Linked DNA regions of Arabidopsis thaliana. The protein of the gene in region 1 interacts with the protein of each later gene in a pairwise test. Each region holds a gene or a part of one and is shown on either strand. Other genes may lie near its edges.

Region 1 (4,189 bases):
AGACCTAGTTATAAGACAAGACTGAACTAATTAAGTGATCGGTTAGTTGGTAAAACAAAATAGTATTTCGAACTTAATTTTCACCTAAAGTTTAAACGTGTCTACTAATGACTCGATAAACTAAAAAAAACAGTCTTTTTTTTCTTCCAAAAAGTCGTTATCAAAGCAGAATTCATCTGTCGTCGAATTTTGAATGAGTAGGTGCAATGTCACATTTCCAATATTAAAAGAAAACGAGAAAGAAAAAAACAAAATACTCCTCATAAAACGATAGAAATGAAATAAAACGAAGCAAGAGTAATAAATTCGACAGAAAAAGGAGTAATTTACTAATTATAGTAAGAGAATCTTGCTAAATATAGAATCCAAGAAGAAGTCACTCTCTGTGGAACAGAAACCTTGTGTCTGCTACAAATCAGCAGATGACACTTACAGTTTACGTTTCATCATGCATGTGAGCGACACTATAGGGAGAATTCGGTATTGGCTTCCTTTGTTGTCCCTACCTTATTTAATTACTCCTGATAACTATTTTTCTGTGTATTTCATCGTATCGAAATATCCAAATTTCATTCTTCATGGCTGATTTAACTAGTGTTTAATTATAATTATACTTTATACTTTTTTTTGGTTCTTAATCACACATGCTTTCGGGATCTTGAATACGAAATTTTAAACCGTCTATCATTTGTTTCCTGAACCGGGTATTGCAAATAGTTAAATCTTAGTCAACTATTTTTTCGAGTTTTTTTTAAAAATAGTTCTGAAAGACAAAAATACATGAGTTTGTGAAAATGTTTGACAGTTGGCTATAATAATTGGTTGCAATGCTTTATACTTTTACCAAATTTAAATTATTCAATTGGCTAGAAGTGGAGCTGTGGTACCGTCCACATGAGGTGGTGTCGTGGTGAGACATTAATATATGAACTTTTGTTACGATATGAAAGCACCCGACACATACATTCTTCGTATTATCTTGCCTTATATGAATAAACATAAAATAACCAATACTAAATTTGAAACTGTGATACACTAAAGAAAATATCTTTGGTTACATCCAGCTCTGGCTTCTGTTCAAAGTTTTTCTTTTGAATTTATTTAAAGGTTAATTAAGATCACCACCTAACCCACTTGTACAACGGTTCTGCAGTTTTTGCCATCGAATCCCATTGTTTAATTCGCATATTTGTATGATCTCTACTTTTTTTTTAAAGTTAAATAGATTAATTAACAAAATGAAGTTTATTTACAACAAAATAAATGAAAAGTACAAATACGTTAAAAAACAAATTGTTTGCCAGCCAAAAATTAATTAAATACGTAATTTTCGAAGGTGTAATATTCCAACTTGTTTTTGTATATTTGTTTAGCTTATGGAGTTATGGTTGTGTTATTATATATTGAATGGGCTATTTCGTGTTGACAAATAAGCTCTTTAGTTAAATATTATTATGTTCTTGATTAAACAACAAATTAAGAACCGGCCAAACCATTGAACAGTCGTTTTCTGGTCTTTTTCATTTTATTGGTTACACCTTCTTTGTCATAAAATAGAAATTATGTTATACTTTCTTTCATGTATCGACACGTGCATTTGGTTAGTCTTAATCCCATTTCAATTTTATATGATTTATCATATTAGCAGAAAACAAATATGCTAATTATCACATAGATAAGCCATACTAAAAGTATTTATCTGACCTTAGGTTAAAAAAAATATTAAAATATAGCTTATAAGAAACATTCACTACTGAGTTGTCATATTTCTACTGGCCGACTTAGATTGCAACAACTAAAATATATTTTTTATAAATCATTTGACATAGGCAAAACAAAAACAAATATCTCTGTAACTTTTTCCTCAATTTTTTCTTTTAAAAAAACACTTTTTTATACACCTTTTCCTGTTGAATGTATTATTATTCCTATTGATCATCACGTGAAATATAGAAAAATAAAATAAAAAAGCAAAATCCACTTTTGTGTTTTCCTTTTCGTTTACGACCAAAGAGATCCACTTTATGCTCTCTTCATTTTCTCCATGTAATAATTTTTCTCGAGAGATTTCTGAAAATAAAGTCGTTTCTTTTTTTTTTTGCCTTGGTCACTCAAGACTCTCTTCTTCACTCTCTGTTTTTTGTCCTCTTCTAAAATTTAGAGAAAAAAACGAAAGTTTTCACCAAAAACAGAGGAGGAGCTATGTCATCGTCGACGATGTACAGAGGAGTTAATATGTTTTCACCGGCAAACACAAACTGGATTTTTCAAGAAGTCAGAGAAGCCACGTGGACGGCGGAGGAGAACAAACGGTTCGAGAAAGCTCTCGCTTATCTGGACGACAAAGACAATCTTGAGAGCTGGTCCAAGATCGCAGATTTGATTCCCGGCAAAACAGTAGCTGACGTCATTAAACGATACAAGGAGCTAGAGGATGATGTCAGCGACATCGAAGCCGGACTTATCCCCATTCCGGGATACGGCGGCGACGCCTCCTCCGCTGCAAACAGTGACTATTTCTTTGGTCTAGAAAACTCCAGCTACGGTTATGATTACGTCGTTGGAGGAAAGAGGAGTTCGCCGGCGATGACTGATTGTTTTAGGTCTCCGATGCCGGAAAAGGAGAGGAAGAAAGGAGTTCCGTGGACCGAGGACGAACACCTGTAACTACCAAATTTCTTCACTACTTCTAATTAATGTTATAAAGATTTGTTCTAAAAAAATCGATATTTTATGTTATAATACTATAGAATTTAAGTTTCTAAGCCTAACAATTTGTTTATTTTGGTAAATAATTTTGGAACTAAATCTTGTTTTGTGGTATTTTGAGGTAAATATATCTCTTTTATTAATATTTACTTGAAATTCTCTGTTTTTATATGAACTCACTGAGGAGAATATTTCTTTTGATAATTAAAATGCCTAGGATTTATACTTTTCTTACAATTTATATCTATTTTCAAATACTTTCTTGAAATTATTTATCTTATGTGAAGTTAACTAAATATAATATTGATTTACTTTTCTTTGTTTGACAGACGATTTCTGATGGGTTTGAAGAAATATGGAAAAGGAGATTGGAGAAACATAGCAAAAAGCTTTGTGACGACTCGAACGCCGACGCAAGTCGCTTCACACGCTCAGAAATATTTTCTTCGACAACTCACAGATGGTAAAGACAAAAGACGATCAAGTATTCACGATATCACCACTGTTAACATCCCTGACGCAGACGCATCCGCAACCGCCACGACCGCTGACGTAGCACTCTCTCCTACTCCAGCCAATTCTTTTGACGTTTTCCTTCAGCCAAATCCTCATTACAGTTTCGCGTCTGCGTCTGCGTCTAGCTATTATAATGCGTTTCCGCAGTGGAGTTAAATCACTTAGAAATTATCTAGAGTTTGTGGTCTCCTATAGATTTGTTACATACATTTTCTACGTACATATTACTGCAGAATTGTTGTAAATATTTGTATGAAAAGGTTTGTGTGATTCTGCTGTCCATATATTAGGTCTGGTTGGTTGTAATTTTCAGTGTTCCGAGTTTTATAATACCAATATATGATATATATATATGATATATATATATATATATATATATGTGTGACTTTACATACTATATTCTTTAATAATCATATAATTATAATGTAAATACCGTTGACTTTAATGTCAATGCTTGGTGTGAGTCGCTTTTTCTTCCCGACAACTTAGGATTAGTTCGAATCAGCATCTAATTCAGTTTTTTTTTGTTCAAATTAAAAGTAAAACTGACGAAGGATCTGACTATTAAATACTACTTTTTTACTTAATATTCTTCCCATGGCTTCGCTGATCGTTCAACATAACAGAAGAATTATATTCCATTTTCGTGGTTCCATTTACCTCCAATTATTATCATGAACCTGACGGGTGTTGCGTCCCAAATGCTTCGAGCTTTCAATTTGTTTTTTTTTTGTTTAACTAAAAAAAACGAAAAGAAAAGGGAAAACAAAAAAACAACGTCGGCTTACAAAGCCCAAAGAAGAAGAAATAGTTAATGCCCATTAAACTGTGCCCCAATAAGATCCCTTAAACCCCGTAAAAATCCATGATTTTCAAGCCCAGTAGTGATTTGGAGTGTACCGGTGATTTGGAGTCTACTAAAATGTTAAATTCATAAATTGCAAAAAGTTGTAAACTACAGTAT
Region 2 (4,991 bases), on another chromosome or scaffold:
GCGAGGAACGATAACAATACTAAATATGTAGAAACCAGATCCTTGACAAAATATTTTGTGATTGCGAGATGAACTCAAAGCGTGGATGCGAGTCCAAGATTAGGTGTAGCAGAGTACATTGGTGAAGGCATGGGAGTCGTTCCAGAGCTTATCATCCCTTCTATGTTTTGAACTCCCTTGTTCTTTGTTTTCAAGTTGATGGTTCATGGAAAACCAAAACAAAAATGTGCAGCCAGTTTGGTTTTAATTTGATGGCTTCAACCAGATTCATCTAATTGGTTTGAAAGGATTTCAAATATATTTCATGTCTTTACACTAAGAACTCCTGACACTACACTACTTTTGGTAGCGCGGTATGCGGAATGATTTATTTCGAAACTGATTGCAGCGGATTTAGTAAGATGATTAACCCTTTTTCGCTATAAGATTTAATCTACACTGCAATAAACAAAGACCCGATTATCTTGCCGGTTCGACAAAACATCGAGCAATTCTGTCCTCGTTTGCAAACTCGTTGCGGATTGGTTGCACCACTAAGCAATCTTATTCCATGATGGTTAGTAATCTAGTATGTTAGCTGTAACTGTATGAATGAGTTTTAAAAACACTGTAATACACATCTTGAAAATACTTTACTATAATCAAACAACATGAAATCAAAGTCATTTCACTAATATCATAAAGAATATATGTTTTCATTAATTCTTTTTAACTTTCTTCATTATTGTACAAAAATTTTATATTACACCTACATCCATTTATCAAATAATATACTTTTCAACATGACATCCATCTAAATTCAAGCTAAGATCATCTTTCGAATTTTTCGATCAGATCATTGCCGTTAAGCAAATATAAAACAAATCAGGAGCAAACCTTATTGTTCTTCCTTAGGTATGCATGTGCACCTCTTCTGTTCTTCTGTTAACTCCTATATTATCCACACCAAAATAAACCAACTCATAACTCTTTTTACTATATACTGTTGACTAATCATTTTTAATTCATCTATTGGGTTCCTCTAAAAGGTTTTGTGTGTATATATATTAACTTAGATAATTTACCTGGATCTGCCTTTGAAGAACTTTCACGTATTCTACTGCTTCTTCTAACATGTCTGCAGTGTTGGTTTGCTGCAACAAAGACAAAAAAGTTAACCGATATACTCAAAGCCTAGATTCCAAATCTCCATATATACCAAAACCAAAAGTTTTCCTCAGTTTGTTCATAATCTATAGAGAGGAAACCAAGTTCATACTTATTTGATCGAGGTGACAACAATTCAAGTCCATATCAAGATCCATTCCACAGTTTGTGAATTACTTAGTTACAGAGCTGAGAACCGTGTCTCTGAAGTTGCATCACAACCATTAACAGTCATATTTAATTTGACCTCTAACTTCTACACTTGATTTAAGCATAGATAATCTTTGACCTATTTCTAGTCAATATAATTGTGTAACCGAGGTCATCAGATTATACCTAAGCTGAAAATTATATTACCTTGTCCATGTTAGGTACAAGCTCTTGTAGCTTCCTTATCCGATCACTAATCCGCGTCCTTCGTACCTACACAATGAAAGGTAAAGATAAATATACACTGACCAGAACAGAACAATCCTCTGTTCAATGAAGCATACAGTGCATCATTAAACATCCGTAAATTGAAAGTAAAGATATAAGTTGTATCACTAAACTTCAATGTATAAAGTTAAGAGAACCTTGATCACTACACTTCCAAAACATTGAAAATAAAGATTGAATGTTGTTTACCCTCTCGGCAATGCTGCGGGGATGAGTTGCGCAACCACGTTTAGCCCGAACCCTAAAAGCAACAGAGTCCTCCATAAGGTTCTCCATGTTCATATCCGACATGCTTGATACTCCGGTAGGAACTTGACCGCTGCTTTGCTCTCCTTTCTACTTACAGAAAAAAATTCCAAAAAGCGCAAATCAGCACTAATACCTTAATCAACACATAGGTAACACATATGTTCCCAAAATTTTGATCAAGTGTAGTTACTTAATACTAAGTAGACCAATGTACCAAAAGGTGTGGAGAATCAATACATTTGTACACATTAACCACCGAAGTATGTATCATCATGTGGACTTATGGTCTTCTAAACACTTTACCCATAGGAGCATTCTTTAATGTTCACATTGACACATTAAAGCCACAGAGCCAACAACAAAAACTGCCATTTTTTTTTTTTTGAGTTAAAATAGAAACTGCAACTTGCTTAGTTTGGTTCAGAAAAACACAAGTTGTCAATTTTAAGACAAGACTGGTCTTTTCAATCTCGAGAACTTGGTCAGCAAATTAACTAAAACAAGTAATAAGTCAGTTAAGTTCATCCTATTTTTGGCAAGTATAAGAAAACCCTAATTTAAGAACTAATTTTGGTTTACCATTTGAGAAGTAAACTCAGGAGAAGAGAAGAGTGCTTCCATTTCTCTAGACCGCTTACTTCCCGGAGAAACATCGATATTCCCCGATAAGTAATCGTAATTCGCCTGAATCCCAAAGCTTTGGATAAATCCATCAGAACCACTAAGAAAATCCGCCGGAGTACTATTCTGTCGGTGAAACCCACCTTGTTGATACAACCCTTGCTCAACAGGAATCGGGAACTCGAACGAGCCGCGACTTGTCGGTAAATCGTTCGAGTTCCCGGTAAGCAAATCGGTGAGACCAAGATTAGGTTTCAAAGACTCTTCTTCATCTTCCTCAAGTAAAGCTTCAAGCCAAGTCGCTGGAGCTGAACGGATCCGAGATAGTCCACTTCTACTTAGCCCTCCTCCTCCTCCTCTGCCTCCTCCGTCGTCACCACCGCCGCTACTACCGACGGATGTTGGTTGCATCCCCTTTGGCTTTTCTCTGGTTTCAATAGACACTACGAAAGCTTTTTTTCTCTTTCTTTACATTTTTTTTTTTGTTTCTTGCTCTGTTTTATTTTTTTCTTTAATTAATACATCAGCAGACCAGATTGTTGTTGTTCTTGGGTTATTTTTTTATTTATTTGTTTCAATAAAAAAATTGCGGCTAGTAATAATAAAGAACCCTAACCGTCTGATTAAGATACTTTTCTAACACTTGACTAAAAGATAAAGATAGTACAGAACCTAAAAAGGTTAGAGATGCGTCAGCGCGTAACAGAGAAACATTGCTTTAACGTCTCTTTTGTTATCTTTTTTTTTATGTAATAGATTATGGTTTACACCACTCTCGATGGAGGCGCGTAGTTTCCACCTTCTCGGTCCAATTCCGATATGTGAAAAATTAGCGACTTCGTATGTCTGCAAAATGCAACTTTTATTTAGTTGAGCTGCTTTGTAGAATTACAACATTTTAAAAGCTTTTGAAGAATTACAATATTTTAAAAAAGCTTTTGAAATTTTTTGTCTTTATTTTATATTAGAGTTATTCTCTGTTGTAACAATGTCTGTGTTGATTGCCTAACAAAAAATATAAGAACACGAAGTTTTTTTTCTTTTTCATGTAAGTACATCGACTCCGGATTAGTTCTCCTAACTTAATAAAATGGTCGCTGGTGAAAAAAAGTAAAGAATAAAAAACCATCCTATTAAAAAAAATATTACAATCTTAAAAAAAAATTACTTCATTTTTTAAATTTTTTTTGTTACTTTCGTTTTTAATTTATGGTTAAAATTTTATTTATTAATTTTAATTCTCATATATTATTTTTAAGATTTAAATGTTTATAAAATAAATAAAATAATTTGAAAGCACTTTTACAACTCGTGTGGTGTTCGGGTTGCCCGGCCATAAAAAATTCCCACAGAGTTTTTCAATCTCATCAAAACCGGTGATCGAAAAATTGAACACCAAAAACTGAAAATCTATACTATATAAAAGTTGAGGCTATTTGCTTCTAAAGCCGTCCACATAGGATTTAGAACGACCAATCGAAAGCTGCCACATCAATAATTAACATATTTAGCATTTAATTATTTAACATTTTTTAAAACAACTAATCGGAAGCTGTCACATCAATAATTAACATATTTAACATCTAATTAATTAACATTTTTAAAAATAATAATTACTTTCCATTTTAAAATTTAAAATAAAAAACGAAAATAACAAATATTAAATTTAAACTTATAAAAAAGGAAGCAATATAATTATAATTAAATAATATTAAACCTAAACCCTTACAGAATTTTGGGAGATTTGCAAAACTACTCTTTTTTTACTACCCTTTTGCAACAATATCTTTTTATGTTGTCCTTTTTTAAAAATACCATTTCCCTTGAACAGAATGACCAAATTATCCTCATCTAATAGGAACATGTAATTAGAAACTGAAATTTTCCCACCAAATTTTTGCACCAAAAATTTATTTTTCTCGCCAAAAAAATTTTCTGGCAAACTTTTTTCCCACCAAAAAGAAAAATCCCGCCAAAAAAATGATTATGCAAATCCTTGTAAAATTGTTTTGGGAAAAAATATATTTTCAAGAGATTTTAAAAGGGTTTTAAAATATTTACAAGGGATTTTAAAAGGGTTTTAAAAAATTTACAAGAGATTTTAAAAGTATTTTAAGAGATTTATAAGAGATTTTAAAAGATTTTAAAATATTTACAAGAGTTTTTAAAGGGTCTTCTTGTAAATTCTTTAAATATCTTTTAAAAACACTTGTACATCTTTAAAAATCTCTTGTAAATCTTTTGAAATCCTTTTAAAATACCTTGTAAATCTTTTAAAACACTTTTAAACCATTTAAAAATCTTTAAAAAACCTTTGTAAATCTTTTAAAGCCCTTTAAAATCCCTTGTAAATATTTTAAAACCCTTTTAAAATACCTTGTAAATCTTTTAAAACTCTTTTAAAATCCCTTGTAAATATTTTAAAACCTTTTTAAAACAATTTTTAACCCTTTAAAAATCTTTAAAAAAGCTTTGTAAATCTTTTAAAGCACTTTAAAATCCCTTGTAAATCTTTTAAAAAACTCTTTTAAAATCCT

Evidence for each region.
Region 2: the proteins of AT5G01200 (region 1) and FBH2 interact in a two-hybrid assay, tested with the Arabidopsis thaliana proteins (one large-scale study listed by BioGRID).

Annotation. Positions count from the first base shown.
Region 1 is NC_003076.8:74,914-79,102, forward strand, and holds AT5G01200 (Duplicated homeodomain-like superfamily protein), read left to right. Parts: upstream 1-1,958; 5' UTR 1,959-2,202; coding exon 2,203-2,663; intron 2,664-3,038; coding exon 3,039-3,381; 3' UTR 3,382-3,630; downstream 3,631-4,189.
Region 2 is NC_003075.7:5,845,387-5,850,377, reverse strand, and holds FBH2 (basic helix-loop-helix (bHLH) DNA-binding superfamily protein), read right to left. Parts: upstream 3,067-4,991; 5' UTR 2,866-3,066; coding exon 2,413-2,865; intron 1,921-2,412; coding exon 1,774-1,920; intron 1,570-1,773; coding exon 1,504-1,569; intron 1,134-1,503; coding exon 1,065-1,133; intron 932-1,064; coding exon 878-931; 3' UTR 615-877; downstream 1-614.